Linked DNA regions of Oryctolagus cuniculus. The main gene of each other region encodes a partner of the protein of the gene in region 5 in a complex. Links are inferred from orthologs where the notes say so. Each region holds a gene or a part of one and is shown on either strand. Other genes may lie near its edges. The genes, in order: CACNA1C, CACNB1, CACNB2, CACNB3, STAC3 and CACNG1.

Region 1 (4,676 bases), on a different chromosome or scaffold from region 5:
CTCAAAACCAGGCATTCTTACTTGGAGTACAGGTGTCCCAAGTGGCATTTTAATCCCTGCACCAAATGCCCACCTCTAAATTAATTTTTTAAAGATTTATTTTACTTGAAGGTCAGAGTTACAGAGAGAGGAGAGGCAGAAAGAGAGAGAGAGAGAGAGAGAGAGAGAGAGAGAGGTTTTCCATCCCCTGGTTCACTCCCCAATTGGCCGCAACAGTCGGAGCTGTGCCAACTCAAAGCCAGGAGCCAGGAGCTTCTTCTGGGTCTGCCACATGGGTGCAGGGGCCCAAGGACTTGGGCCATCTTCTACTGCTTTCCCAGGCCACAGCAGAGAGCTGGACAGGAAGTGGAGCAGCTGGGTCTCGAATTGGTATCCATATGGGATGCGGGTGCTTTAGGCCAGGGAGTTAACCTGCTGCGCCACAGCACCAGCCCCTAAATTAATATTTAGATAATGCAAATTACTGCATGGTTACATATCCTAGAAATCAGGAAAAGCGCAGGCTGCGTGCTTGGTATCCGGGAGTTCTGCTGAGTTAACTAACTACAGTCCACACTCAAGGCTGTTTTACAAACTGGTTTGGAAGCCGAGAGGATCTCAGACAAGAAAGATGGTTGGCAACTGTCTAACTAACTGCCCACAGAGTGGGGTACACACTGAGCTGCACAGGCATTCTGAGAAGGGGCGGGGCAGGGTGACTGTGATGGTTATGATCCAAGCTCAGACAGAAGCTGGGTCTACAAGAGCAGTGGTGGTTTGGATAAGAAGGAAATACAATAGGGAGGGCTTGCATGGTTGAGAAGAAAGGAGCAATGCATACAGATGATTGTAGATTCAATGAACATCTACACATCAATGCATGGAGCAGGGGTGTGCTCGGTGGTGAAGCCAGCACACCCCTGTCCACCATGTAGGGGAGCACTGGGGACAGCGTCCAGGGCCTCACCTGTGGCATGAAGGGGTGGATGCAAGCCATGCAGGCCAATGCACGAGGGGCTGTGAAGTCCATGGAGTGTGTTGCAGCCCAAGCCTTTTAATAAAACCAAGCAGACGAATGTAGACTAGCAACGTGCAGAGTGCAGGGAGTGCCGTCGGGTGCGTTTCCTTCCATTGGGTCTGTCGGGCAGGGTGCCCGAGGTATTTCTTGCTGGGTTCACCCTTGGAAGGGTTGGCGGCCACCCACCAGACACCCCTAAGGCCCCTCTCCACCTCGCTGCTGACTGGCTGCATCTTTGTCGCGAGCAGCTGCTGAAATGCACATGCAGGGGGATCTGGGAGCGGGGGCGGCGCTGGGGCTGAGGCCGAGAACAGCCTTGGTAAAGAGCGTTGGCCTTTGTGCACACAGGAACCTAGGCCACTCTGAAAGAGGCACAGGGGCCTGGAATTTTCTCCAACTTTCTCACTACCTTTGTCCCAAGAGTGCCTCCTACTGCCTGAAGTCAGAAATGCAGGGCTTACCACTTGGGCAGTGGATGGACAGCCCCTTGGGCCAACATCTGTGATGTCGGCCCCCCCTCCCCAAACCTGTCCATAAGCACCCCCGGGTGGGGAAGGGTGGGCGTTCCCCTCAGCAAGGGAAAAGGCAAAATGGTTTCTGGGGACGAAAGCTCTGAGCTCCAGGAGTGAGCCCCGAGAATTCTGTGTTCCAGGCTCTCCTACCAGGATGACGAAAACCGACAACTGGCGCCCCCGGAGGAGGAGAAGCGGGACATCAGGCTGTCTCCAAAGAAGGGTTTCCTGCGCTCCGCATCACTGGGTGAGCACACCCCTGGCTCTGCAGAGGGCGCTGGTGGTCACCCTGAGATGCCTGGTCAGGGACTCCGGGATGGCCCGGGGTCAAACAACATCCAGGCAGTGGGCTGGGCAGACTTCCAAAGTGAGAAGAATGATTGCAAAGACAGGGTGTGCTGGGGTGGGAGCTGGACACACGTGCTCCGCAACGCCTCAGAGACAAAGCAAGAGGCAAACAGGAAGGGTGTCTGAGCCCCAGACCCTGCTCCCACCGGGTTCGGAGCTGTCACAGCCCTGTCCTCTCTTCCTGCCCTGAGCCCCTTCTTTGGCTGGCTTTGTAGGTCGAAGGGCTTCCTTCCACCTGGAGTGTCTGAAGCGGCAGAAGAATCAAGGGGGAGACATCTCTCAGAAGACAGTCCTGCCCCTGCATCTGGTCCACCACCAGGTAGCCCATGATACTGCACTAAGCCACCACCCAACAGTCTAGGCCGTACTTAAAGGCATTCAACTGGCAATCAAAGCTTATAATCACCCTAAGACAGCCAGCTTGGTGTGGCCAAGTTGATATCACTTCAGCTCAAAGAAATCCACCATTTTGCTTAGCCTGTGGAGCGCTGCCCATGTGTGAATGATTTCTACTGGGCTGTCCACAACACCACACATAGCCTTGTTCTTCCTTTAGGTTCCCAGGCAGCCAGGAACCCCATCGGGAGCTGGGGCCGGGACAGGGGGAATGGCAGGAAGTGGGGACATCATGCTTGCTATTTTGGAAGGCGGTTTTAGCAGCTGGTTCCACCCATCTGTTCTTATCACGCTGGTGGGCAAGGCATCCTTCCTTACCTGTATCTGGCCCCTCCAGCCACCCAGTGTCGCCCCCTCCCACCACACACCACAGCAGAGCAGCAGACGCTGTGGGGCCGAGTCCTGACCCAGCGGTGATGCAGGCCACGGCCCTCGGGCTGCCCAGCAGCAGCCAGGGACACGGGACGCAGACGCGTACATGGCTTCCTAGCAGCGCAGTGTAAGGCTTCTGCCATGGCTCAAAGACAACCCGAGCTAGGGGTTGGCAGGGTTCTATTCCTCGTCCTTGCTTTTCTTTTCTTTTTTTTCCTTTTTTTCTTTTTTATAAAAGTCAGAATAACGAGTACTGGCTTGATCTAGCTCCTTGTGATGGACATCGAACTTCTTCACAGACCTTGATCCTCACCCCAACCCGCACGGCTGACTGACAGGGCATGCGTGTCCTGCATTTAACATACAGTGTAGGGTCATCGCTCACAGTCTACCAAGAACAAGAGGATTCACAAGTACAGCAGATGATCCTGATTCCACTCAATTGCAGCTTTCTGAACTCACAGAAGGAAGAGATCACTTCAGGCAGACTGAGTTGTGCAGAGATGTATTTTGAGATTATGGAAACCTGGGCCAGGTCTCGATGAGCTAGGGCTCAGAGGGGGTCAGACAGATGGGGTGTGTGTTCCAGGTGGGCAGAAGTAACTGCAAGACTAGAGGCCTGCGTCCCTTGGGCCCCATCGCTCCTAGTAACTCGTGCTTCTTGTGTGTCCACAGGCATTGGCAGTGGCGGGCCTGAGTCCCCTCCTGCAGAGAAGCCATTCCCCCACCTCGCTCCCCAGGCCCTGTGCCACGCCCCCTGCCACACCGGGCAGCCGAGGCTGGCCCCCACAGCCCATCCCCACCCTGCGGCTGGAGGGGGCCGACTCCAGTGAGAAACTCAACAGCAGCTTCCCGTCCATCCACTGCGGCTCATGGTCTGGGGAGAACAGCCCCTGCAGAGGGGACAGCAGCGCCGCCCGGAGAGCCCGGCCCGTCTCCCTCACTGTGCCCAGCCAGGCTGGGGCCCAGGGGAGACAGTTCCACGGCAGCGCCAGCAGCCTGGTGGAAGCGGTATGTGAGTGTGGGCTGCGGGGCAGAGGCAGGGGAAGGGCATGTGGACTGGAGAACTGAGGAGGGGGGAGACGCTTCCGTCCCCATAGACTGAATGTCATCTCCCTGACCGCCACTTTCGGGGACACACGGAAAGTGATGGGCTCTCATGGCTTCTGTTGAGGAAGAAAGCACTGGGTAACACAGCCAGTGAACCCCGAGAAACGGGCCTCAATGTTCAGGGACCGCTCAGAACCCACACACAAACCTGGGCTGCACACACACACACACACACACACACACGGTGGCCAGGGAGCTCTGGAAGACTGTGGCAAATTAAACTGAGAATTTTAAAGCTTGGATGCACAGCCAGGTTGGAGCGCCATCAGTTGAGAACACGAGTGCTTCTGGCTGCCCAGTCCAGGGCATCTCATGCAGTCCTGGTGCCACATTTTAGGGGGCCTTTCACAAGCTGGTGCAAACCCAGAGGAGGGTGACTCCGAGAAGGAGTGGCTTACGAAGCTGCAGTTCTCATCTCACACCCATCACGGGCACTCGGCCAGAAAGGGTTACAGCCCTGGGCAGGAGGACGGGGCAGCTGGCTTAGACTGACAGGCAGGCTGATTTCAGCTCCTTTCCAATGAGCTCTGCCAGAAGGAGGGGTCTTTCCTAAAAAGTAGGAAACCTCCCACCACAGGACCTAGGTAAGCAGACAGGGCCCGCCAGGCCACCACGCTGCCTGCAGGAGGTTGGGAGTTGAACCAGGTGACTTCGAATGTCCATTCTGATTCTGCTGCTGGCCTTGTGGCCCTTGACTCATTTCACAAATTTCTGCTGGGCACCCGCCTTGTGCCGCCCGGGTGCTGGTATACAGTGCTGATACAGGGCTGCTGCCTTCCTGAGCTCTCACTGTGGTGAGGAGAAGCAGGCACTAAAACAGGCATGCAGGAAGGAGCCGTGCTCCGGAGGAAGGTTAGGTGATGAAGACGGGGAAGGGAGCAAGACCCACTCACTTTCTCCCACGCCTTGGCTTAGGAGCTGATTCTCCCAGGCTGGAGGAG
Region 2 (4,676 bases), on a different chromosome or scaffold from region 5:
CTACGCGAAGCTGAGGACCCTCCCTCTCCTTGGGCTGTACCACCTCAGGAAGAAGATGCAGGGGGGTGCTCCCCTCTGGGAGTGATGTTGCCCAGGTCTGGCTGTAGCTCTGGGTCGGATGGGATGAGGCTTGGGAGAGGTCCTTTCTGATTCCACGCGTGTTCCCCCCTGGCTTCCGCAGGGCAAATACAGCAAGAGAAAAGGGCGCTTCAAACGGTCCGACGGGAGCACCTCCTCAGATACAACATCCAACAGCTTTGTGCGCCAGGTACCGGGGAGGCCCGGGGAGAGCCGGGAGGCCGCTGTTGGTGGGGGGCGGCCACGGGGAGCTGGGTCTACTGCTTCCTCCAGGCATCCTTTCCCCTGTCGTTTGTCACCTGCTTGGAACCACCCCATCATCCTGACACCCCATGACCGCTCCTGGATGTACTGTCAGCTGCACCCACTGCCTCAGCTCCCGCCCCCGCCCAGCCCCTCCCCCAGCACCAGGCACCAGCCTCTGCTGCCTGCGTCATCTCATTCAGGGACAGCCTGGCCTGCCTCCTCCTAGCTTGCCTCGGGCTGTCACCCACTCCCCCTGCCGGCTGGCTGCTTCCATGTCCTCCCCCAGGATCTGTGATGGGGTAGGGTGGAGGCATATCCTAGGGGATGAGGAGCGGGGACGTTTGCGTTCCTGGAGGGACCTTGTGCCCAGATGTGACTGTCTAATGCATAGAGAGAAGGTGTAGTGAGGGGACAGGAAGGGTTTGAGATAGAGAGCACTGCAGCCCGGCACCCCCTGACTGCTGGGGGATGGCTGAGCTAGCGTGCTGCCGCTCTCATCTCTGTTTTGAATCTGAACCCCAGGCTCTCTTGGGCTCAGGGAGAGGCAGTGAGGCAGACATGTGGTTGCTATGGCTACTGAGCATCACAATAAAGCCTGGTACCCGAAAAGGCAAGAGGGGCTTGGGATCAGATAAGGGCACGGATGTGTTGGGGAGGAGATGGGCAAGGTCCATAGATGAGGCCAGGAGACTCCGGAAGCGAGGTGAGCCCCTTGGTCCAGGAGGAAGAGGAGGGTGCAGGCGCGTCTACTGCAGATGGGGATGAGGTCCTTCTTGTTGGTTCTTCTGTCTCTGCAACACGTGGCACCCTGAGCCCAGGCCTGACTTCTGAGATTCAGGAAGGGGACCTCGTGCTGCGTCTCCTAAGTATACAAGCAGCCAGGAAATCCTCCCTTCCATCACTCCCTCATCCCGTCCCAGCAGGAATGGGCCAGGGCCAGGAAGACTATCGCTGTGTTTTGTTGCCCCTCTTGGCAGAAAATGGCCTTGGTTCCTTCCGTGTTTGCCAACCCAGGAGGTCGGACCCCCAGTCTCCGGTTCTCCTCTCAGCTCCCGATTCTGACCCCCAGTAGGTGGTGGGGAGTGGGGGGGCAGTCCTTGCCACATCTCTGAGCTAAATATACCCCAGCAGTTTGCACATGTAGCAACTCTGCTTGTAACCTGAGCCCCCTGGGGGGACGGGCAGTTTGGGCCACCCCCTAGGCCAGCAGGGCCAGGCACTGAGGGCGCTGGGATGGAGGCTCCCAGCCGGACCCTGGCGGTGGTGAGCTGGGGATGGGGTGAGGGTGGTACGCCAGCCCCTCAGGAGAGCTGGCGGAGGGGCCTCCCCTGCAGCTGTCTCCTGTGCGCCTCGTGGTTTCCCGTCTCCTGCTGTTTCTGGTGTGTGCGTGTGTACATGCGTGCGCGTGTGTGCCCGCTCTGTGTTGGGGTCTGCCTGTCTGTCTGTGTCTTGCTTCTCTGGCTCAGCGGTGTCTGTTTGCCTGCTCAGAGGGGTGGAGAAGGATCAGAGCGCTGGTTCCCACTCCCCCCAATGCGTCCCTTTACCAGCTTCTCATAGTGACCCCCACTCCTTCCCCTGCATGTCTCCCACTTTCACTATTTGGCAGCGAGAAGGATGGGCGACTGCACCAGCTAATGGCCAGGAGCCTCTGGGGGAGGTGGGGCTCGGTCTTCTTCCTTTCCTAATGGGCATTCCTGGCCAGGTGACCCTCAGGAAAGGATCCCCATGGCCCTGAGGGCCTGTCCTTCCCCCACATTCCCTCCCACCTGTGCCCAGCACCACCCCTGCCTGCACAGTCACCCATGAATCCACACCTCGCGGCTCCTTCCTTAGCATGCCTCTCTCCCTCAGGGACGCAGACCCCTGGGGTGCCCTGTGGCCCGCACTCACACATAGCTGCACATGCTTAGTCACGCACAGCCATACTCTCACACACTTGCCGTCATACACCAAGCATGCATGTGAATCGGGCGTCCGTGCTCTGTTCTAGTAGGTCTGCACAGGCCGTGTGTGTCTCACATGCACTTGTGCATCCGTACCGGAGTTCCCTGTGCTCCAGTCTGGCCAGTGTGGTCAAGGCCAACTTCCTGGCACAGCAGGCTCTTGACCCTGCTTCAACCCTGGCACCTGGCAGCCACGGTGTTGAGAAAAGGCTGCCTTGTATTCTGCTCTTAGCTTGCCTCTTCTGCCTGCACCCCACTGAGACTCTTGGGTTCTTTTGTATCTTCCAAGAGCTGGGGTCTGGGGCTCTGAGTGGGGTGTCCTGGGTACCAACTAGAGAAGCGAGGGAGGTAGGGATTGATCTCTTTCCCCTGTCAAGCAGGAGATGGCAGCGTTTTTGGTGGCCAGTGGTGCAGAGAGCTTGGAGCTCAGCGGGTGGGAGCAGCACCACTGGGCTTCTGCTGAGTGTATCTCAGCCCGTGCTGGGCAGGGGAGGGAAGGAGGCGCGGGGAGTGGAGACTCGTCCCCTGGCACTCCTCCCTTACGCGGTGCCCCTATCAGGTTCCCACCCCTCCCTGGGCCCCAAGCAGCTGTCCTGGGACCTGCCTTAACCCCCTGCTTACTGCTTTCACCCTTCCAAGGGCCGTACTCCTCCCCGGGGCCCTGTCAAGCTCAGCCCCTGGACCCTTCCACCTAACACCATTTTCTCCCAGCCCTGTGGTGTCATCTTGGGCCAGCTGGGGCTTGAGTCATCCGTGATGGGTGACACCTCCATGTCTTCCCAGGCCCAGGACTGGGGGAGGCAGTGCTGGCCCTGAGCTGGCTGTGTCTGCTTTCAGGGCTCTGCCGAGTCCTACACCAGCCGTCCGTCGGACTCTGATGTCTCCCTGGAGGAGGACCGGGAAGCCTTAAGGAAGGAAGCAGAGCGCCAGGCATTAGCCCAGCTTGAGAAAGCCAAGGTGAGAACTGGGGGGAGGGACGTGCTGGCGTTCTCTCTCCCAATCTCAGGCCCGAGCGGGGGCCTGGACCAGAGTCAAGTCTTGGCTCAGCCACTTCCTAGCTGTGTGTCCCTGGACCTCAGTATGCCCCTGCTCACCTGTCAGATGTGGGCTGACATCCCTCCCTGCTTGCCCAGGGTAAGAAGTGCCTAATACAGTCCCCACACATCACAGGAACTTGAAAAGTGCTCAACATTGCCACTTCTTCTTGGAGTCAAACTTACTGGGCTGGAATCCAGGCCCTGACTTCTTTGTAATATTTATTTATTTCAAAACCAGAGAGAAAGAAATAGGTGGAAGGGGGGCAGAAGGAGAGAGAGAGAGAGAGAGAGATCTCCCATCAGCTGGTTCACTTCCCAAATATCAATAATAGCTGGGGCTGGATCAGGCCAAAACCGGGTGCCTAGAACTCAATCCGGGTCTCCCACGTGGGTGGCAAGGACCCAACCACGTGCACCATCCCTGCTGCCACCCAGGATGTGCACCCGTAGGAAGCTGGAGAGGGGAGTGGAGCTGAGACTTGAGCCCCGGCGCTCTGGTACAGGATGCGGCCATCCCGAGCCGTGTCTTCCTCGTTGTGCCCAATGCCCGCCCACCACACCTCGGTTCTTGATACTATGTGATTTTAGGCAATCACTTCACTCTTCTCTTCAGCCTCCTTATTCATTAAGATGAAGGGAGCGGTCATGGAGCCTTTGTGATGAAGCGGTGAGGTGGTGCGTGCGAAACGTGTCAGGGGGTCCCTGGCACGCTGAACAGGAGCCACTGCCCTGATTGTCATCACCCTCATTCCTTCTGGGTGGCCCTCTAGGCTCCCAAGCCACCCACGGTGTCATCCCCCAGGGCCCTCCCCCACACCGAGAGGACAGAATGCCAGTTTTGCTTCCTTTTGTGCTGTAAAAATTCACCTTTGTACGGAAAAACGCACAGCCCACTCAGCGTGCACTTTGCCGAGGCAGACCGCTGCGTGATCCCATTCCCGCGTGGTTTAACCCCTGGTTCCATTCTTCCCCGCATGCCTCCTCCAGACCAAGCCAGTAGCATTTGCCGTGCGGACAAATGTCGGCTACAATCCATCTCCAGGGGATGAGGTGCCTGTGGAGGGAGTGGCCATCACCTTTGAGCCCAAGGACTTCCTGCACATCAAGGAGGTGGGGAGGTCACTGGCATCAGGAGGGCGGATGGGTAGGGGGCAGCTAGAGCTCCAGGGGGAAGGGCCTCTCAGCCAAGCAGAGCAGGGCAGAGTCTGCTGTGTGACTTTTGATAAATAAATCTCTCACCTCTCTGAGCCTCTAAGTTTTCCTTGGTAAATGAGGTGGTAACACCTAGGGGCTGCGCTAAGGGAGAGGCAGTCCATGGCCAGAGAGGATGCTGGTCCCGGAATCATCCTGAGAATGGGCGGCCACACTTGGA
Region 3 (4,676 bases), on a different chromosome or scaffold from region 5:
TCCCTGTCATGCCAGGCAGCTGCGGACACTGGACACTGGGATTCATCACCAGTGCTACTCCCTCCGTGCCAGAGCCCTTTCAGGAGACAGTGAGGACTTCAGAATTTCTTGGGCACTGAAGCCCGAGTTCAGCACTCTGTGACCTCCGCAATTTTCATAACGATGATTCAGGATGATTCCCTCCCGAATCTCGGAGGGGAATCAGATGCTGGAATTAAGTTTTTAAAATGTAAATTTGTATTGTATTCAGTAAGCGTACCACCAGTCTCCCTTCAAACAAACACTAAGGGATGCAGAATACAACAAACAGAAGTACGGAACGGTGGTGTGATCTCAACTTTTACCAAAGCACTTGACATTGCTCTCATACCTGGAGTAGAATTTCCCTTGCTTTGCTCTCTGTTCATGCTGTAGCCTCATGTTTTCTAGTTTGACCGGGCTTGGAATGAATCCGATTTCACAGCCTTCTTTAACCAAACGCCCTATCCACCAGTCATTGTTAAATTTCTAAACACAAAATCAAAATTATTACAATCAGTGCACAGGAGTAAAATCTCTGAATTACTTTTCTTCCATAACAACCATTTCAAACGGAGCAAGATATGGCAATGAACTACATGATAACTATCGAAATTCAAGGAAGCTTTCGGGCCATGGGTTTAGTGCATAGATGTGAAATACTCTCCGCACGCTTAGCATTCCATCAAAGGCTTTCTGCTCTTTTTCCTGGTGCTGCTTTAGGTCCAGGATGAATTCCTTCCCAGCTGATGCTGTCACTATGGGTAAGACAAGCTTCCTGGGTTCAAAGGTTAGCAGCCCTTCCTAGTAAGAGACTGTAAGGAACTTGGAGGTGTTACAGAGATCCTTCTTAGGTAATCAGATTAATTAGAAGTATTAAGAGAGAGAGAGAGAAACAGTGAAATCTACTTGAAATATTTTGTCACAGTAAAATTTCCCACTGTGCAGTTTTATAATTACTAAGCTAATGTTCACAGATGATTTCTCTATGTGTACCAAGGCTGACACTTTATCTCTTGCTGTTGGAACATTTATCTTAAACCTTTATGATTTGCGCTCACATTCCTCAATCACATCAGCCTGTTCTTGAACACATCAAAGACTATCCATTCTCTCTTTCTTTTCCTTCCGTGGTAGAGATCTTTCTCTAGGCATCAGCCATCGAGAGGAGACCCTGTATCAATCTAACCTCCTGTTGTAAAGTCAGATGCGAAGCATTCCATCATTTCTGTCTTCCTACTTAGCCAGTATTTCACATCTTAGGAGTTATGACACAACACCCTCTAAATTCCCTACTCCTTTAATTGGCAGTCATATTCTTCTGTGCTCACAGCCTTCAGAGCAGTGAACAGTTAGATTTACATATGTTCCCTCCGATTTATCAGCCCTATGCACGCTCCAACTGTAAATCCCAAAAGGTCCAAGAAAACCTCATGCTCACTCACTGAGAACATTATGTAGGGGGAATTCCTGGTCACTTAATACAGTGTCCCACACAGAATGCATATGATAAATGTTGACTCAAAACAAACTTTAATTAAGGGTGCATTTTTCCCATTTACAGATTGTGTCACTGTTATCTAAAAGATAGTGATGTCTAGCATGGAGGAAAAGCAATGTTCCTGATGTGTTTCTTGCCTCATTGGCTCAAATTCCTCTCATTCTCCCCTCTGCTGCAAAAAGTTAGCTTCTGAGAATTAAGGAGGGGCACCAGTAGTCTGGTTCAGCCACTGTCAGCACCTGGGAGTCATCAATTCTGGATACTAACCTCTCCCCAGGTGGCTAAATTTCAGGTAGCAGGAAAAGCCACACAGAGTCAAAGTTAAACATTAAAAGAAAGTAGCAGTTAAGCATAAAAAAGGATCATCTACTCTAGGAGTATCCAATTACTGGGCCAAAGAGCCCAAGTGAGCCCTGAAGTTATTCTGGGAGGCTTGGATTCCTGTCTCCTTTAAAAAAGTGTGTTTGGATGGGAAAAAAGGCTGAGAACCACTGATTTAGTGTGAATGTTACACAAATGTAGCTGTACACCGAGCTATTTCACAGCAATAAGAAACGATGCTTCAAGGTGAAAAATCACACTGACAGAAACTGCAATTATTTTCCTTACTTCCTTAACATGCAGAAAATCTTTTGCTTCAAATGAGATGGCCATGCCTGGCACTGGGACATCATCTTCGTGGGCAGCACTGTAGCTGACATTTGTCCGAACAGCAAATGCAACAGGCTTTGTCTAAAGAGGGAAAAGAAAGGGACAAAAAATAAGAAGAAATGAAGCAACAATGCCCCCTCACCCTTGCCTCCCAAGGCGCAGATACACAGAATAACTGGTGGGGTAATCTTGGTTGTTTTAGTCCATGATTCCTTGTCACAAAACAGCCTGTTATCATCCACAATGCACGAGATCTGGCCATCAGCTACATACCATCCATTTGTAAACTAGAGCAAGACCACTGTTCTCTGTGAACAGTTAAATACAGGTTTACAGTACAACATCTTGTAGCACCTAGAAGTCAGGAAGCACAAATATGAATAAAACACCAAATTCTTTGGTTCAAGAGGAAAAGACTCAGTAACTTCCCTCTACCCAAAACATCTACTTCAATGAATCATTAGTAACATAGTTCCAAAAGGGACAATATTTTGAATGAAAAAAGAACCAGGAAATGAATGTCTATTACAACTATAGCAACTATTATTCATGACTGTGGGGAACTGTGAAAGCAATGACCTTTTATTCTATTATTTTTCCACCTTGAGTTTGCTCAGTCATCAAAGATAACATTAATTAAGCTATCATTCATTATTTGATGCTTTAAAAATTTACAGCTAAGTATGTGTTCCAGGCAACAACTGCTTATTCACAAGATAGAAAAACGGAAGCTCAGAAATGCTGAAAAGAGGTTTGGTCTAACTCAGTTTTATTTTTTTGTTTTTTATTTTTTTTATTTTTATTTTTATTTTTTGACAGGCAGAGTGGACAGTGGAAGAGACAGACAGAGAGAAAGGTCTTCCTTTGCCGTTGGTTCACCCTCCAATGGCCGCCGCGGCCGGTGCGCTGCGGCCGGTGCACCGCACTGATCCGATGGCAGGAGCCAGGAGCCAGGTGCTTTTCCTGGTCTCCCATGGGGTACAGGGCCCAAGCACCTGGGCCATGCTCCACTGCACTCCCTGGCCACAGCAGAGAGCTGGCCTGGAAGAGGGGCAACCGGGACAGAATCCGGCGCCCCGACCGGGACTAGGCCTTTTTTGTTTTTTTTTTTAACACTATGTTTCCACCACATTAGGAGTAAGATTTCTTCTGAGCTGTTTCTCCCCTACTCAAGGAGCTCTTCATCTGGTCTTGCAAGGGAGGGGCTGAAATAGAGAGTACCCATTCAAATTTTCCACAGTTAATCTGTTGTACCTGCTGTCTGGGTTGGAGACTGAACTAAGGGTCCTAAAGTAGTTTAAACATACCCCCCAAGATGCAGACTGGGAAAACAGAATCAAGTTCTGGATACAGGCACCATAGACAGGAAGTAGATTTAGATAGTTGAAAGCCAATTCTTGGTATTCATGAAGATTTTTAAATAATATATAGATGGTTCCCTTGGCCTACAAATATGACATTTAAAACTGTGTAAGGAGGGCCGGCGCCACGGCTTGCTAGGCTAATCCTCCGACTGCGGTGCACTCCAGGTTCTAGTCCTGGTTGTGGCGCTGGTTCTGTCCTGGTTGCTCCTCTTCCAGTCCAGCTCTCTGCTGTGGCCCAGGAGGGCAGTGGAGGATAGCCCAGGTCCTTGGGCTCTGCACCCGCATGGGAGACCAGGAGGAAGCACCTGGCTCCTGTCTTCGGATCAGTGCAGCGCTGGCTGCTATGGCCATTTGGAGGGTGAACCAACGGAAGAAAGACCTTTCTCTTTGTCTCTCTCTCTCTCACTAACTCTATCTGTCAAAAAAAAAAAAAAAAAAAAAAAAAGTGTAAGGAAAATGTGACCACTGGGCCGGTGCTGTGGTGTAGCAGGTAAAGCTGCTGCCTGCATCCCACATGGGTGTTGGTTTGAGACCCGGCTGCTCCACTTCTAATCCAGCTCTCGGCTATGGCCTGCAAAAGCAATAAAAGATGGCCCAAGTGCTTGGGCCCTTAAACTCGCATGGGAGACCTGGAAGAAGCTCCTGGCTCCTGGCTTTGGATTGGTCCAACTCTGGCCAGTGCAGCCATTTGGGGAGTGAACCAGCAGATGGAAGACCTCTCACTTTGCCTCTGCCTCTCTTTAACTGTGACTTTCAAATAAATAAATAAATATAAAAAAAAAGTTAATGATTGTTCTACTGAAACATAAGCCTTAATAACATCTGGTATTTCCATTTCCTTCTTGGAATTTTTTTAAATATGTGAACTTTTTTCCCAGAGCTGCAATCATAATGCATTTGATTTTATCCAGTTTTAAATGTAATATATTACTCAAGTGATATATTTGTTAAACTACCATGTAAAAATAAACTAAACCATTAATTCTTTTTTTGGATCATTAGGCTTACAACTTTAAAAAATATGAATATTCTGCTTTGAAAAATCTCTGTACAAAAAGCCTCTATTTTTTTTTCAGATTCCCAGAGGTAGAATGAGGAAGTCATGAGTTTTTTAAGACCTTTTTAGATTTTATTTCAAATTA
Region 4 (5,311 bases), about 7.6 Mb from region 5:
GGTCTTCCCAGAAGTCCCAGTGCCTGCCTCAGTTTCCCCCTCGAATGCTCAGGACCTGGGATCTGCCCAGCTTCCTGGTGTGGTTACAAGAAGCGCTAGAGGTATTTTGGAGCCTCCCCAAGAATTCTCACTCCCAAACCTGGCTCTTTGGGCGCTTCCTCCCATTGACCGGCTTCCATGCCTTGGGTAGTGCCAGCTGTCAGTTTAACACCTGTCTCTTAGAAAGACTGCAGGAAACGTCCTCTCCCCTAACCCCCCCCCCTTTTTTGCATTTAGCCCTCACCCATCATGCTAAACCATGGACCAGAAAAGAAGTTAGGGACCACATGGATGCTGACACATGTCTTGTTAAAGGATGGGAAGTCATTAGGTTGGCCTGAGAACCAGAGTAGACAGATGTGGGTGAGACTTGAAAGGGGCGCTGGGTAGCAACCTGGAGATATGGGGAGGAGGGAAGGAAGGTGAAGGGAGGCTTTGGAACTCCTGCAGGACCCAGGGGATGGACCCAGAGGAACTTAACCCATCTCCTGAGGGTGGCTGCCATGGCAACGCAGTCTCTTGGGTACCAAAAAGGTGTATGAAGAAGGGCTGCTGATGGCAGATCCACCAGATCTACAGCTCGTTGGATCTCTGGTGGGTGGGGGGAGTCCCAAAAAAGAGAGACCAGGAGATCCAGGGACAGAGAACGCCATTAGAACCACCTCCCAGGAGTCCTCCAGCAGACTCCTCCAGCCCTGTAGGATGGAAGGAACTGACGCGAGAGAGAATGGAAAAGATACAAGGAATCCTAAAGGAATCGAGAGAGAGGGCACAGTCATGTCCATATACGATCAGCCCCTCCCCTGCCCCCCGCAGGAGCGAGCGGGAACTGTGAAAGCCGAGCCACCGCCTCCCCGAGTAGCCACCGCCCCCCTTGGCCGTCAAGGCGTCCAGGTTGTTCCCCCAAATCTAGCAAGAGGAGAAGGCCGGAACTGCCACAGGCACAGATAAACTGAAGCAGGCCCGAGAGAGTCTCAGGACGAGGCAAGCAGGACACCTGTCCCCCCCCAGCTGGGGCTTGCTGCCAAGGCGGGGTGTGGCCCTGGTCCCCCACCAGGGACTGGGGACGCTCGCCCCTTTCTCCCCTTCCCAAGCCTGTGTGGCAGGCAGGATCGCACCTTCGCCCCCACCCCTCCTCGTGGGTTCTCCTAAAACAGCCCCTTCTGCCCCAGTTCCCACGAATGCCTTTGGCCATGTCTGGCACCACCCTTGGCAGGGAGATGAGGAAGGGAACCTGCATCGTGGCTGCAAAGGGGTGAAATCCGCCGTGCAACAGGTGCGCGGAGGCCTATCCAGCTGCCAGAACCTCGGCCCTTCTCCAGGGTCGGGCGACCCCGCCCCCCAGCTGCGCGGCCCCGCACTGCGGGGCCCGCGCGTACGGGCTGGGGACTGGGGTGGTTGCTTCCACAGCACTGGCCTGGGGTCGCCAAATCCCTTCCTCCGCGGTTGCAATGCAAGGTTTGGCTTTCGGAGTCTCCTGGGACGCGCCGCCATCTCACCTGGGCCCCCTCCCCCGCCTGCCGCTGCCCGGTCTCTCCGTTTTCTGGTCCCCGGTTCCGCTCTCCAGCCTGCGGCCGCCCCAGCGCCCGAACCCCGGCCCGCGCGGGTCGCTGCCCGGCTCCGCTCGGCCCCTTCCCCGCCCCCGCCCAGCCCTTTGTTTCCCGGCGGAGCAGTTTCCTGGGTTGCGGAGCGTCTGGGAGCCCGCAGCGCCCCTCGCCCCGCCTCCAGCCCGCTCGGATCCGCCCGCCGCCTCTCCGCCCCTCCCGCCCGCCGCCCCGGGCCCGTGGGTGCTCGGGGACCCAGCTCCCGTCCGCGCCCTCCCGCGGCCCAGGCCCGGCTGCCCCCCGCGGCCACGCCGCGCCGCCTTCCCGTGAGGGCCGGGTGGGCGGGCGCTATTGTTGCGGAGCCGGCGCCGACTCCTTGGCGGCGCTCGGGGTGGGCCCGCGGGTGGGGGGTGGGCAGCTGCGGTGCGAGCCCGAGCAGGCGTCTCGGTGGCAGCTCCGTCCCCGGCGCGCCCGCCGCCGCCGCCCGCAAGGCTGCGGGGCTCGCTGGCGTCCCTCGGGCGCGGCCCTCCGTCCTCGCCCCTGCCTCGGGGCCGCCCCCGCCCCGGCGCCGCTCGCGTTCCCGCCCGGACTCCCCATGTATGAGGACTCCTACGTGCCCGGGTTTGAGGACTCGGAGGCGGTGAGTGCCCACGCCGGAGCGGGGGTGGGGGTGGGGGGTTGGGGCGACACCTGGGGCTCCCTGGGCCCTTCCCCCAGTTCGGGACTTTGACAAACGCCTCAGTGGCGGGGCAGGGCGTGCAGGGGGCGCTCTGGGAAAGCGGGAAGACAGATTCCACGCCGAGGGCGCCCGCCCGCCCAGACCCGGGGGGCCGGGGGCCCTTGTGGCGCAAGGCTGGAGCAGGTGGCTCCGCAGCCCAGCACGGACGGGGTCGAGGGAGGGAGAGAGGCCGGAGGCTGAGGGCGCAAGGGTTTCCCGCGACGTCTGGAGTTTCAGATTCTGGATTGATGGGGGCTCTTGGGCAGGGGGCCGTGCCACACTTTATGTGCTGTAAATGAACGGCACACCAGGGACCTGAGGGTGTCGGGTACCAAGCCGTCTCCTCAGAGGATTGTAAAACTTGAGGCGGCCCAGTGTCTCCTGCCCGCCCCCGCTGGCGCATCACCATAGCTCACCCCTTCCTCTAGCCCGTTTTCTCTCCTGGGCATCCAGCACCCTGGGGGGTGGGGGGGGGACACCTGATTGCACCCCCACCCCATGCCCAGTGCCCAGCTGCGGCTTGCCTGCCACCCAGCACCTATGGAGGGCCAGGCGGTGAGGCCAGAGGGGCTGGAGGGGGCCCGGGGCTTGGATAGGAAGCTCTCTTGGCTCAGAGAAATCAGGCAGCCGATAAATATTTAATTCTCTTCTTTGCTTTTATCTCCTGACCCACTGAGACAAATCAGCTCATTAGGCAGTGATTCCCGGAGCTCAGGGAGAGTGCCTGGAAAGATAGGGCCCAGAGTGGGGCAGCTTCTAAGCCCCCCTTGGAGCTGCCAACCCTGCCACAGCACCTCCTGGGAGAGGTGCTGGTGGTCGTGGGCCGCAGCCTGCCTCTTCAAGCCTCCAGCCTTCTCTTGCCTCCAAGCCCAGGATGGATGAGTTGCTAAGGGGCAGAGCTGGCAGAGCTGGCAGTCCTTGCCTGGGACCTGACTGCTCCTGGGGCCGGTTCTCCCAGGGGGACCTCTGGGGCTGATTGCACAGCAGCTGCAGTGCAAGGCTCTGGTGGACACTTCTCTCTGACACTTGAAGGGGACAGCTGGCACAGCCCAGGGTGCCAAAGTGAGCTCTCTGTAGGGCTCGAGGGCCTTCACGGGACAAGATAGACACGTGGACGGCTGTCTGAGGGTGAGCCTGCTGCCTTCCCAGCTGTCTCAGCGTCCTGGATCACCCTCTTCCCCCCTCCCCGCCACTTCGCCTCCTCTCTCCTGGCTCCTTGCTCTCTCCCTGAGGCCCCCTCTGAAGCAGTAGGAGGGAGATCAGTCTCTAAATAAATCCACCGGCTCATCTCCCTCCTCTTCTTCCCCCGTGCCAGGCGAGAGGAGCTGCAGCCTGCCCACACACTCACCAGGCAAGGGGGGCACCACCCGTGCCAACTTCTGACAGCTCCAAAGTGCTGAGCCTTTGGCTGTTTTGCCGTAGTGGGGTAGAGCAGAGGTAAAAGATGCAAGAATGGGTTTGCTACGCAGCCCTGGCCATAGCATAGCGTGAGAGGTGGGTGAGCCTTGAGGATTTGGGAGTGGAATCATGGATGGAGGAGTCCCTTCTGAGTATAACTCCGAAACTTGTCGGGAGAGCTCCTGTGATTGCCACTGGAAGGTGAGAGGTCAGGTAAGCCAGACGCACCCTGCACTAAAGTTACCCAGTTAGGCTGAGAGCCCTACAGCAGAAGGAAAGCCGAGGCTCCTCGCCCAGCACCTGCTGGGCGTCTGCAGTCTCCGATGTTTAGGCGCCAAAGTGAGTGGCCGTCCTGCCTCTGCCTCCCAGCCTGCTGGCCACTGTCCAATTCAGCGTGGCCCACAGAGCTGTTTCGCGTGTCCTGAGAGCCCTGGAAGGGGGTCTTCCACCACATCCAGCGGTTTCAGCACAGCGTCTTTCTGTCCCGCTGCCAGACCAGTCTTATTTTGTTCTCAGGAAAGATGGACAGCCGCAAGCACGCTCTACTCATCTATAAAATTAAAGACCGCCCCTCCCTGCCCCTCTATGCAATCTTCACATCTTTGGTCTGCTCCACACCATCATTTAGGCTCGAGGGCCTGCCGTGCCTCCAGCTCTCTCACCTAGGGTTGGGCTGGGGCAGAGAACGTTATGGGCAGCAGATGTGCAGTTTTGCCTTCTCCCCTGAGAGTCTGGCCTCTGCCCCCCCCTCCCAGAAAATCATCATGCACAGTAGCCTTGTGGGAGTGGTGCTCACCCTGAGAATATGCCAGAACCCCTTCCCCTACACACACACCAATACACACACACACACGTGCACACACATGCACGGACGCAGGAACCCTTTATCTAGTTTCCTGCTTTCTCTGCTACCAGCATCCTAGAATTAAGGGAAGAATCACTTTAGGCTTCTGCTCATAGCTGAGGGGTGGGGGTGTGTGTGTGCAGCACTGAAGCAGAAAACACAAAATTCCCTTTTCTCTGGGCAGAGGGAAAAACCCAGACGATGTAAATTCCAGCCTCTTGCCTCCAAGCCCGGCTTCTCTTGCTCTTTAGTGTCTCTCCCTCATGGCCTCAGACATGGCACACACAAACACACACATAAACCCTGCCAACCTCCAAATGTACCCTCATCACCCACAGACCCTGCCTATGGGCAGGACTCTGGGACTCGCCTTGCTGACATTACAAAGACTCCCCCTCCCCACATCCCCAGGGTCCTGGTCCTCGGCTGGGTTGCCTGGCACCAACCTGGCACTGGTGTCCCCTGGCGAGAAGATAGCTTTGTGTTGCCTCACGGTCTGTGTCTTATTCGCTGCTAACACCTGACCCGGTTACCCCAGCAGGTGTAAAAGGAAAGAATGTTCGTGGGGGTAGGGAGAACAGAAAGGGCAGTGAGTTCCAGGAGGTACCAATGCCCTAGTCTTTACTTCTCCTCACCCTGGAAGGGCGGGGGCCTTTGGAGTCTTGTTGGAGGAGGGAAGTGGGATGGAGGGGGTGACTGTCTATTTCATGTGCCTGGGAGTGCAGCTTTGGAGGCTGGCATGAATGATAGGCTGCGAATCCTGGATTC
Region 5 (5,355 bases):
ATGCTGAGAGAATTGTCAAGGAATACACTTCTAAGGATTGCCAAATCATGCACCTGCCCAGGCTGCCCACAGCTCCAGATCTGGCTGAGTCTGGGATAACTCTGTGAGAAGTGTGAGGACAGTCTAGAATCTTTGCTCTTGCTCAGAAACAGTTTTGCATCTGAACAGCACAGGTTTTGAAACTCGCAGATGCAATTTTCAGTCTTGGCTCTATCTCCTGTTAGCTGGAGATAGCTCTAGCCAATTTTTTTTCTTTAAAAAAGATTTATTTATTTATTTGAGAGGCAGAGTTACAGACACAAAGAGGGAGAGACAGAGCTTCCATCTGCTAGTTCACTCTCCAAATGGCCACAATCTGAAGCCAGGAGCTTCCTCCAGGTCTCCCACTTGGGTGCAGGGGCCAAGAACTTGGCCCATCTTCCATTGTATTCCTAGGCCATTAGCAGGGAGCTGGAGTGGAAGTGGAGCAGCTGGGACTTGAACCGGTGCCCATATGGGATGCTGGCACTGTAGGCAAAGGCTTAACCCACTGAGCCACAGTGCTGGCCCCCTCCAGGCAAATCTTATTTTTCTCAAGATTGCCTCAAACAGGGCAATATTAACGCTGCAACCGAGATGGCTATAAAAGTACTTATTACTTTTGTAATAGTCCTTATGAGGGTACTACAAACATTTATGAAAAGGTAGAATTAAAAGGTTTAGGAAGCGGATGGTTAGCCTCGCAGTTGTGATGCCTGCATCCCACATCGGAGTGCCTGGGTTTGAGAACCACCTCCAGCTCCTGACTCGGCTTCCTGCTAATGCAGAGCCTGGGAGGCAGCAGTGACGGCTCAAGCATCTCCACATGGGAGACCTGAACTGAGTTACTAGCTCTGGACTCGGCTCACCCTAGTCATTGTGGGTATTTGGGAGAGTGAACCAACGGATGGGAGCTCTCTGTCTCTCTCTGCCTAAAAAAAAAAAAAAAAAAAAAAAAATCAATTAAAAAATTATTTTGGTGCAAAAAATATTCAAAATCCACAGTTTTTTTCTGACAAGCATTTTCCACAAACTTTTTGAAGACCCTTTGTATTAGGATGAGGGAGAGTCATGGGAAATAGAATGTTCCTGTTTCACACTGTGGCTTCCAAAGCTAGAGGTGGTATGCAACCATCTCTGAGGTTTGCCCCATTCCCTCAGGTCCCACATGGGGCACTTACAGAGATCTTTGACACAAGCGTACTGCTGGTTGCTGTAGAGTGGGGAGCTATAGGCCCGGCGGAAACCAGGGGGCTGTAGGATGGGATGGGAGGAAGTATTAGAGGCAGTAGTGCAGGGTCCAGAACCCATGTCTCCCATGAGTGCTCGCCCCTTCTCAGAGCAAGAGAAGGGCTAAGAAGAAGCAGGGAGAAGAAAGGGATGACTTGAGGGGGAGCAGCAAGGGCACAGCTAGCGAGTCCCCCACTTTTCCTTTCTTGCTCCCCAGAGCCTACTCACGATCTTGCCGAAGCATCTCTGCATCTCCACGTAGGGCTGACAATGTTCATGGATGTTGGTTTTGCAGTTCTTACAGCGAAGCCCAAATTTGTTGTTGACTTGGGGGAGGAGAGAACATCTGTGTAAGACCCCGGCTTGCCCTTCTTTGCACCAGAGTTTCCTCTCCCTTTTTGGTTTGGGACTCTATACTCTGAATCTCTTAACAGCCATCTCCCAAGTCAAATCTTGCCACCGGCCACCTGCTACCAATATCACTCTCCTAAACCCTCTCCCGCACTCCCTGCCTCCACCCTCACTTTCTCTGCTTCCCTTCATGACTCACGCACAATCATCCGGGCACAGACATCACAAAACTTTGGCTTCTTGAAGAAATGATCTTTGAATTTGTGGGGCTTATCGTTGACAAGCTTAGGAGGCTCTGGGGGTGGCTCCTCCTCCTCCTCCTCTTCTTCCTCCTCTTCCTCATAGATGTAGTAGATGGGCCCACCCCCAGCTCCCACCGCCTCCCCATTGGCCTGGGGTTCTGGGGGAAGCTCCATCTCCTTTGTCTCTGTAGACCCCTTCCTGAACAACTGCTTCAGCCGTTGCAGCTGAGGGAGGGAGTGAAGGAAACCCAATGTTAACAGGATTGTCCTGGCCTCCTGGAGTAGCTAAGGCTACAGCTAGCCACATTGTTCTTGTTTGGGGCAAGGAATGCAGCCGGGGGTGGGGTGGGTGGGGTCAGGGGAGCCACAGGTGCTGGCTAGTCATCTAACAACACGCAGAGACCAATCAAGCACTTTCCTTCTGGCCGGCAATGGCTTCCCAGCTCCCCCCACACAGCGGTCAATGGCCCAGACTCACCCCACTTTGCCCAGCCTCTGCTGGGGAGGGCTTGGGGGACTCCGGTACCTCCTTTTCTGTCATCCTGCAAGAGGTTGGACTCCATAGGAAATCTAATCCCTGACTACCTTTCTTCTTGTCTTTTCATTCTTGTCTCATGGGGGGTAGGGTGGTCTTTGAAAGGGAGGCTTCAGGAAAAATCTCGCAGAGACCCTATGGTAGGGCTATGAGCAGCAAGATTCCATGGAGGTCCAGAAGAAACTCGGCAGACGTCAGAACCTCCCAGCCAGTGCTATCCTCCCATCCATCCTTCCACTCTGACAGGCAGCCTGCTCAGTCCAGTAGGCTGTGCCTCTACACGCCCTCCCTGCAGGTTTGCTGTGCATCCCTGCGAGCCCACAAGGAGGGATGAGCTGGAGACACTGCTTCTCCCCTCTTTCTGGACTCCTGGGGCCCGCTGCCTACTTCTGTCCCAGCCTGCCTCAGGCCTGCTATTTTAAGTTTTCAGAGTAATATGAGCCTTTCCTTCCCTACTACTCTGTTCCCTCAACCCCACCCCCACCTCCAATCCCAACTCATCCTGGAGTAGAATAATGCCACTCCTAAAAACCCCACTACTTACAGATGAGAGGACACAGAAGCTGAATAGACTACGACTGGGGAAGTTGGGGAGAACAATCCTGGAGCAGGAAAGGGGAGCAAGAGGCAACTTACGTTTGGGGTTCCCTAAAGTCAGGCTGTGGAGGGCAGAGGGAGCCCCTGGGGCCTTGACGGTGGTGCTGGGGGAGGACTGGTTCCTCTTCCTTGGGGGCTAAGCCCCCCCAGTGCCGTCCGTACTCACACCAGCCACTCAGACGGTTATTTGTAGACCTCCTAGCCTCTTGCCTTGGTGTCAGAGCTGAAATGACAGGGCTGGAGGGAAGTGGACAGCTGAGCCACACAGCTGACACAGAGAAATCGGACACGGGAGGTCTGGGCAGGGCTGGACCCTAACTCCACCCCTCCCCCAGCTGCTGTTCCCTGATTCTTCATGTAGCAGGAGCTGAACAGGCCCAGTGCTGGGAGTTTCTGTTCACGCTGTGTGCCCATTTGAGGGGATGCAGATGACTGCAAGTGAGGGAAGATGAATTAGACCCCCAACCCCTCTCCCCAAGGCCCAATCACCCCCAACTCTACCCTCCCCGGAGCTCCTCTAGGAGCCAGGCTTCTCTTCTCTGCAGTTGTCTCCTGGTGGCTCCAAGTCCCTGCGCCCTCCAGCCCCCAGCTTCAGACCTTCAGGCTAGGATGGGCCACTTGACTGTCCTGTCAGCCACCCCACAAGGCTGCCTGACACCGGGCAGCTGCAGGGGCACCTTGCTATCCTGGAATGAGGCGAGGAATACACAGTACTGCTCTACTCCCCCCATTCCACTAAGATCCTGTCCTGAGGGTAAAGGGAATTGTAAGGGTTACTAAAGGACAGGCCGAGACTTCCACCTGAGGGGCTCCAGGGAAGGAGGGGCCAGTAACAAGGAAGAAATACTTGACGCCAGAGACTGTGGCTGCCTTCTGCAGGGAGTTTTTGTCATTTTTAAGTCCATTCTTCCTCAGGAGGGAGCTGTAGACTCTTTTGAAGGGAGGACGGCCAAGTCTCTAAACCACTACGGTTCCCCGGTCCCGTCGCCCACCTCTGATGCCCCAGCACGTGAAGTGAGAGGGCAGAGGCCTGGCTGGCATTCTCATCTCAGGGGGATACAGCCTTCGCCTTCTCTTTGGGCCAGGGCATAATTGAAGGAAGAGATACTCTGAACTACGAAAGAGGGGTTATCATATGCTGCTTTATTTCTTGTTATCTGTAAGAAATAAAGGACTGCGTCGCAGGTGGGGTCAGCCAAGTTCTTGGGGGGAGCCTGGCTAGAGATAGGGCCACCCAGACCCCAGCAATTTTAGGGGTTGCACTTTGCCACATCCACCCACTGCTCTTTATCTCTCCTAGAGGGGTAGGGGAGATTGAAACAGGTGCTGGACCACCCTGTACCCACAGGCTAGCTGTGGGAAGTCCCAAGTACTCCTGGCTCCTCTCTTCTTCCACCACAGATGGCAGGGAACACACATCTGGACACTTCAAGTTCAGCTGGCGTAGCTTTTACTGTTAAAAGCAGCCTCTTCTGTTCCTGCCAGGTAGAACCCAATCCTCTGGCTTTAGGATTCAAGAAAGGTCCAAGTCCTCCACCTCTGAAGGGCTTCTGGAACCTTTGACAGACGGGTACGAGGCCAGTATCTCAACTTGGCTGTGAACATCACTCACCTTCGCCAGTTCAGCCACAGGGCCAACATGAGTCCTGGAATTCAGGGCTAGAAGGACCCTCAGAGGCCACTTTGTCATTGAGCTCTTATTTTACTGATAGGGACACAGAGGTCCAGAGTTGAGGAGGGAGGTGCTGCTCAGTGAATCACAGACCTAGAGACCCAGCCCCCATCAGAACTGTGAGCAGGGAGGAGGATGGCTCCGAGGGAAGAGTGCAGGGAAGTCAAGTGTCAATGCTAGGGGAAGCCACCCACAACAAATTCCTCCAGCAGTGAGGGGCGCTACTCACCCAGGGCCTCCAACCCCACCCACCCCAGGGAGGCAACAGAGAAACAGTGACTGATGTCCAGTGACAGATTTTTTTTTTTAATATTTAAAAACAAAGCCAACCTCCCCTCGAATAATCCCCCCCAAACAAAAACCAGATTAAATAAAATTTACAGTGAATATACCCAGCAAACATCTGTATGTGCAATTAAATACTGCATCTGTCACTGTGGCACAAACCTCAAACAAACAAGATACAAGTGTTCTAGGGGGCGGGGGAGTCCCAAGTTTTAACTCTGCGGGGCTTGGGGATACAAGATGGGAGAAGTTAGAGAACAGGGAAATCAATTTTGTCTGTCTTAATTCTGTTCATATAAATATATTCATAAAGACTCAAAAAGGAAAGGGAGGCTTGTGATGGTAAGGAAACAGGAGAATAGGGAAATGTGGGACCCTCCCAATTCTACCTGACCAAAAAATACGAAGAAGTTAATTTCATGGTG
Region 6 (5,276 bases), on a different chromosome or scaffold from region 5:
CAGGTGCTTCTCCTGGTCTCCCAAGCACTTGGGCCATCCTCCACTGCACTTCCTGGCCACAGCAGAGAGCTGGCCTGGAAGAGGGGCAACCGGGACAGAATCCGGTGCCCCGACCGGGACTAGAACCCGGTGTGCCGGCGCCGCAAGGTGGAGGATTAGCCTAGTGAGCCGCAGCACCAGCTCATTTTGTTTTAAAGTAAACTTCATCCTCACTAGCTTTTCATTGCTGATGTCCATTCGAGAGAAAGGGAGAGACAGCTCCCATCTGCCGGTGCACCTCCCAAAGGCCCACAGCTACTGGCGTGGGGCCAGGCTGAAACCAGGAGTAAGGTCTCCCACATGGGTGGCGGGGACCCAACTACTTGAGCCAGCTCCTGTCGCCTCCCAGGGTGCACTTCACCAGGAATCTGGAGCCAGGAGTGGGGCTGACACTCCAAACCACACGCTCCAGTGTGTCCTAACCACGAGGCCAAACACCTGCCGTTTCGCAGGTCCCTGGGAAAGTAAAGTATTCAAGCCCCAGCTGCCCTCCGCCTTCAGTCCGTCTGTCCATCCATCAAACCTCTCAATAAGCATCTGTGAAGGTTCTGGGAGGACCTAGAGTGAGTGCCTCACAGCCTCAGTGACCTCAGCCTCCGAAGCTCAGAGCAAACCCATCCACCAGTGGTCTGTGAAGAACATGCTGACGCAGCCATCCTGGATCCACCGCCCGCCATGCCGCCAGCCCAGGGCACCACAGCCAAGTGCTGTTCTGGAAGCCGGGAGCCAGCACAGTCAGGTTCTGGTGAGGGCTCTCTTCCTGGCTTGCAGATGGCAGAGAGGAAGCAAGTGAGCTCTCTGGGCTCTCATCAGGGCCCCAAGCCACCACTCTTACCAGACCACCCCCCAAAGGCCCGCCTCCAAACGCCATCCCACTGGGAGCTGGCACATCACACCACCCCACTGTCTGGGCCGCACTGTCTGCTGGAAGAGCTGAAACCAGGACAGAATCCGGTGCCCCAACCGGGACTAGAACCGGGGGTGCCGGCGCCGCAGGCGGAAGATTAGCCTAGTGAGCCGTGGCGCCGGCCTGCATTTAACTTTGTAAGTGAAAATACAGCCAGGAATCTTTATGACCTGCCTGGAAGAGGAGGCGGCGCTCAGAGCAGTTCCATAGAAACAGTGGTGCCGCTGAGTCCAGCTGTATTCTCCGGGCCTCTCTCTGTCTCTAAGGGCGGTTGTTCCAGCACACGTTCCCTAGCCCTGAACAGGGACAGGAACAGGAAGAGAAGTGAGGAGGTAGAGGTGTTCTCATAGTGAGGTCACAGTTGGCTGAGGAACATGCATGCAGATTCCCAGGCCTGGGCGGTGGGGCTGGGCTCCTGTGCGGGCTCAGGCACTGCGTGGGAGGGGGCTCCAGAGGCCCTGGGCAGAGGGCCCTGGGCTGTCCCTAGGCAAGACCCTGGGTCCCCTGACTCCCCGGGATGAGGACCCCATCTTGGCAGCTGGCTTGCCCAGTGTGAGACCAGGAAGCAGCAGGGCCTCCCCGGGGGCCCTGTGCTGGCTTAGCAGGACCTCTGCAGCCAGAGCAGGTGCATCACCCGACACGAGGTGGCCCATCCCTCGCCCCCGTCCACTCCAAGTCACTCTGTAAAGCCTCCTCCTGCCCCACCCTGGCTCCAAGAGGGGAAGAAAGCGCTGAAACCCGAGCAGACGCCGTCCTGGGCCCTGCTGGAGGCATTAATAGAAGCCTCGCTCAGGCCCCTGACGTGTCTGGCAGCTGCTCAGCCCCAGCCCGCGTCTCCCAGCCCCAAGGCCGGCCCACTCTGGCTCAGCCGGGCACACTAAACTTAGCTTCCACCCCCAGCTCCGGAGCCACGGCCACCACCCTAGCCGGGCCGCCACCTGCACGGGCAGGCGCCGCCGCCAGACCCTACCTGCAGCACCCACCCCTCTGCAGCCGCCATGTCCCCGACGGAAGCCCCAAAGGTCCGCGTGACCCTCTTCTGCATCCTGGTGGGCATCGTGCTGGCCATGACGGCCGTGGTGAGCGACCACTGGGCCGTGCTGAGCCCCCACATGGAGAACCACAACACCACCTGCGAGGCCGCCCACTTCGGCCTGTGGCGGATTTGCACCAAGCGCATCGCCCTGGGCGAGGACAGGAGCTGCGGACCCATCACCCTGCCTGGGGGTAACGTATCCATGCCCTGTCCCCTCTCTGCCTCCTGCCTGTCGCAGGTGCCCCGGAAGAGGTGCCCGTGGGAAAAAAGGCAGGTTTCTCTGCCTCGGGTCCAAGCAGCACCCCAGCCCTCCCTGCCCAGGGCAGACAGAGCTGCGCATGGCACGGCCATGTACGGAGGGCTTACGTTTCCAGCTATTAGAACATGGGGCCATGCGCCCAGAGCAGACAGCTGCACAGATGGGACAAGAGGCCCAGGACGAAGACGCAGGTCCACCAGACCAGGGCCTCTGGCTCAGCAGGGGTCACAGCCCATGTCCCCAGGCTGGGTGGCCGTGTGCCCCCAGCCCGGCAGGTTCATTGCTCAGTGCCCAGGCAAGGGTGCAAACAGGGCCAGCTCCAGGGTCTGCAGTGCCTCCTGCAGAATGAAAAGGCAGGGCTCCTAGTTTCCGGCGACAAAGCGTTTCAGGTAGGCGGCCGCAGGGTGTGGGGCGCTTCTGGGGTGGGTGTGACTGTGCAGGCTGCACCCCTGGAAAGTGGGATGTGGCAGCATGCAAGCCGGCTGCCTGCTCGTGGGAGCCCACAGACCTCCCGGAGGGGCCCCCTGAACTCAGCTCTCTCAGATTCCAAAGTGTCCCCTGTCCCACAGTGTCACCCAGCCACACGCTGCAGGTGAGCCCTCGGTCCAGGACGTGGGGCGTGAGCAAGACAGATCCCTGGGAAGAGTGTCGGTTCTGCACGTGTGGGGCCCACGGAGTTCCAGTGAGCAGAGCGTGTGCCAGGGCAGCGGGTGCTGTGCGGGGAGCGGAGGCCTGGGCCCCAGTCACGCGCTAGCCGCCTGCTCCCTAGAGGAGGCTTCTGGGCAGACAAAGCCCAGCTCAGCTCCTCCTGCTGCCTCTTCTATAAAACAGGAGACTTGGTCTCAGCCACACACGATCCCTCCCAGAGCTCACCAAGGTCCCTCCAAGGCGGCAGCCGGCCAGGCTGTGAGTGACACCGTCCCACCTGACATGCGTGTTCAGAAAGGGCGTCCTTTAAGGCGGGTGGCGCTGAGCCCCCAGAGGTCTTGCAGTCTGCCCAGCCCCTAGCCCCATGCCGCCCTTTCCTCCCCCTGCCACTTGCTCCAGGGATCCCCTGCCCCGCGTGCCCCCGGGGGGCGTGCAGAGGACTCGTAAATCCTCAGCTGTCTTGGAAACGCTGAGTCCAGGGCTGGGAGCTTTGACAGGCGTGGGCATGTGCTCATGGGCTATCGCATAGCGCAGATGCTCATGCCCTCGGCCACCGCTGAGCACGCCCGTAAACACACGCCTCCTCCAGCCAACTCCCTTGGGCAGGGCAGGGCGGGGCAGGGCGAGGCGGCTCCTCCAGGGACACTGTCATGGTCCTAGCTGCTGTCCTTGGAGCCATCTGCCTTTTAAAGTCAGAGCCGATGAGCAGGGCAGCGGGCAGAGTCCACACAAGGAAGAGACAGACTGGCCAGAGGTGACCAGGCCAGCCCCAGGGGACCGACACTTGGCCTTGAGCCTGAGCAGCGTCCATCTCTTTGGCCTCTCCACGCCGCCCCCGCCCCAGGCGTGAATCATGCACTTGCGGCACTCAGCACTGCCTTCCCTCCAATAATCCTCCCAAGCATGTCCCCCCGGCCTTTTTCCTCTTTTGCAAACAGATGTCTGCTTCCTTCCCAATGTACCTTTACCTTCCTTAATCTCCTCGGGACCACCGTTTTCTGGAGCGAGTTCATACATCTCTCATTTATTTGTTATTAACCAAAGCAACAACAAAGGCACGCAAACGTAGCACTGTGTGCATGTATTGTTGTGAATGCTTTTCCTAAATTCACTTGAAATGACGTCAGAAAAATAGGACAGAGTAAGGCATGCCTGCCCCCAAATCTTCCCCATAAAAGCCATGAGGATTCTGGCAAAAATTGACAGGACACTGGACATTAACCAAATCTCACAGAATTCCAGAAAAACAAGGGAAGCTCAGGAGGAACAGAGACTTGCCCATTCCCACGCACCCTCCCCAGGTCTGCCGTGGCTTCAACATCTCACAGTCATCACCAACATAGCAGCCCAACAGCCACTGAGGGGGACAAATGGCCAGCTTTCTTTTACGGCTCTGTTTTCAGAGCGGTCATTGTGCGACCTGTCCTGTGGCTCCCTGCAAGTCCCCACTTACAAATCGCCTCTATCTGACCTGGCTCTGAGCTCTCCAGTGCCACCAATCTTTCTCCCAGGGAGCATTTGTTGAAAACAACTGGAGCCAACTGTGTAACATCATGGCTTCTTGAGACAGCACAAAACAGTTGGTGCTAATAATGGGATAGCCCAAACGCTGGAGGATATGATGTCCGTTGGCAGCTTTGGAAAGTTCCAACATATTCCTGGGCACCTCGAAGGCCTTGTGCATGCACGGTGCTGCCAACAGGCTCAGGAGAGACCTGAGGTCCTAAGCTCTCACCCCTGCCTTATCTTGAGGCTCTGTGCAAGTAGAAATGGAGTCTAAAGCAGAGATGTAGACTGCTTAGCTGAGGGCCCCCGGCATCCCTAACATGTGCTCAGGGCCCCTCAGTAGACTGGGAGAGATCCTGGTCCTAAGCATTTAAGAAATCTCTGTTAACTGGCCACTAAGCTAATGAGACAGACATTTCAGTTGTCAGACACAACAAAGAATACAGAGTTCACAAAATTAGTCCAGAAGTCACTAAACAACAATAAGCAGTAATAAAGGCTCAACGCAGGAAATATGGACAGGCAAAGAACTGAAATGGTAGGGGCTCCATGTTGGGGGGGAGCGAGGAGCAGGAGCCAATAGATCCCTTAGGAAGCTCAGAAATTGCTGTACAAAGATTTTTTTTAAAAGATTTATTTATTTATTGGAGAGGCAGAGTTACAGACAGAGAGAGGGAGAGACAAAGAAAAAGAGTTCTTCCATCCACTGGTTCACTCCCCAAAAGGCCACAATGGCCTGAGCTTGGCCGATCTGAAGCCAGGAGCCAGGAGCCTCTTCTAGGTCTCCCATGTGGGTGCAGGGACCCAAGCACTTGGGCCATCTTCTACTGCTTTTCCAGGCCATAAGCAGAGAGCTGGGTCAGAAGAGGGGTAGCTGGGAC

The links.
Region 1: STAC3 (region 5) and CACNA1C share a complex: the UniProt entries of both Homo sapiens proteins name them as parts of the calcium channel complex. The link is inferred for Oryctolagus cuniculus from reciprocal best matches to the Homo sapiens genes STAC3 and CACNA1C.
Region 2: STAC3 (region 5) and CACNB1 share a complex: the UniProt entries of both Homo sapiens proteins name them as parts of the calcium channel complex. The link is inferred for Oryctolagus cuniculus from reciprocal best matches to the Homo sapiens genes STAC3 and CACNB1.
Region 3: STAC3 (region 5) and CACNB2 share a complex: the UniProt entries of both Homo sapiens proteins name them as parts of the calcium channel complex. The link is inferred for Oryctolagus cuniculus from reciprocal best matches to the Homo sapiens genes STAC3 and CACNB2.
Region 4: STAC3 (region 5) and CACNB3 share a complex: the UniProt entries of both Homo sapiens proteins name them as parts of the calcium channel complex. The link is inferred for Oryctolagus cuniculus from reciprocal best matches to the Homo sapiens genes STAC3 and CACNB3.
Region 6: STAC3 (region 5) and CACNG1 share a complex: the UniProt entries of both Homo sapiens proteins name them as parts of the calcium channel complex. The link is inferred for Oryctolagus cuniculus from reciprocal best matches to the Homo sapiens genes STAC3 and CACNG1.

What each region holds. Positions count from the first base shown.
Region 1 is NC_091440.1:100,500,345-100,505,020, forward strand, and holds part of CACNA1C (voltage-dependent L-type calcium channel subunit alpha-1C), read left to right. Parts: intron 1-1,649; coding exon 1,650-1,756; intron 1,757-2,072; coding exon 2,073-2,176; intron 2,177-3,300; coding exon 3,301-3,636; intron 3,637-4,676. UniProt on the Homo sapiens protein: Pore-forming, alpha-1C subunit of the voltage-gated calcium channel that gives rise to L-type calcium currents. Mediates influx of calcium ions into the cytoplasm, and thereby triggers calcium release from the sarcoplasm.
Region 2 is NC_091448.1:23,118,454-23,123,129, forward strand, and holds part of CACNB1 (voltage-dependent L-type calcium channel subunit beta-1), read left to right. Parts: intron 1-181; coding exon 182-268; intron 269-758; exon of another isoform or gene 759-792; coding exon of another isoform or gene 793-1,027; intron 1,028-1,428; exon of another isoform or gene 1,429-1,557; coding exon of another isoform or gene 1,558-1,587; intron 1,588-2,647; coding exon of another isoform or gene 2,648-2,700; intron 2,701-3,104; coding exon 3,105-3,224; intron 3,225-4,291; coding exon 4,292-4,414; intron 4,415-4,676. UniProt on the Homo sapiens protein: Regulatory subunit of L-type calcium channels. Regulates the activity of L-type calcium channels that contain CACNA1A as pore-forming subunit.
Region 3 is NC_091444.1:44,636,958-44,641,633, reverse strand, and holds part of CACNB2 (voltage-dependent L-type calcium channel subunit beta-2), read right to left. Parts: intron 2,252-4,676; coding exon 2,129-2,251; intron 508-2,128; coding exon 371-507; intron 1-370. UniProt on the Homo sapiens protein: Beta subunit of voltage-dependent calcium channels which contributes to the function of the calcium channel by increasing peak calcium current. Plays a role in shifting voltage dependencies of activation and inactivation of the channel.
Region 4 is NC_091442.1:52,304,532-52,309,842, forward strand, and holds the start of CACNB3 (voltage-dependent L-type calcium channel subunit beta-3), read left to right. Parts: upstream 1-2,017; 5' UTR 2,018-2,178; coding exon 2,179-2,223; intron 2,224-5,311. UniProt on the Homo sapiens protein: Regulatory subunit of the voltage-gated calcium channel that gives rise to L-type calcium currents. Increases CACNA1B peak calcium current and shifts the voltage dependencies of channel activation and inactivation.
Region 5 is NC_091442.1:59,883,250-59,888,604, forward strand, and holds the start of STAC3 (SH3 and cysteine-rich domain-containing protein 3), read right to left. Parts: upstream 3,254-5,355; 5' UTR 3,013-3,253; intron 2,384-3,012; 5' UTR 2,383-2,383; coding exon 2,320-2,382; intron 2,067-2,319; coding exon 1,799-2,066; intron 1,575-1,798; coding exon 1,477-1,574; intron 1,273-1,476; coding exon 1,200-1,272; intron 1-1,199. UniProt on the Homo sapiens protein: Required for normal excitation-contraction coupling in skeletal muscle and for normal muscle contraction in response to membrane depolarization. Required for normal Ca(2+) release from the sarcplasmic reticulum, which ultimately leads to muscle contraction.
Region 6 is NC_091448.1:13,143,625-13,148,900, forward strand, and holds the start of CACNG1 (voltage-dependent calcium channel gamma-1 subunit), read left to right. Parts: upstream 1-1,803; 5' UTR 1,804-1,944; coding exon 1,945-2,173; intron 2,174-5,276. UniProt on the Homo sapiens protein: Regulatory subunit of the voltage-gated calcium channel that gives rise to L-type calcium currents in skeletal muscle. Regulates channel inactivation kinetics.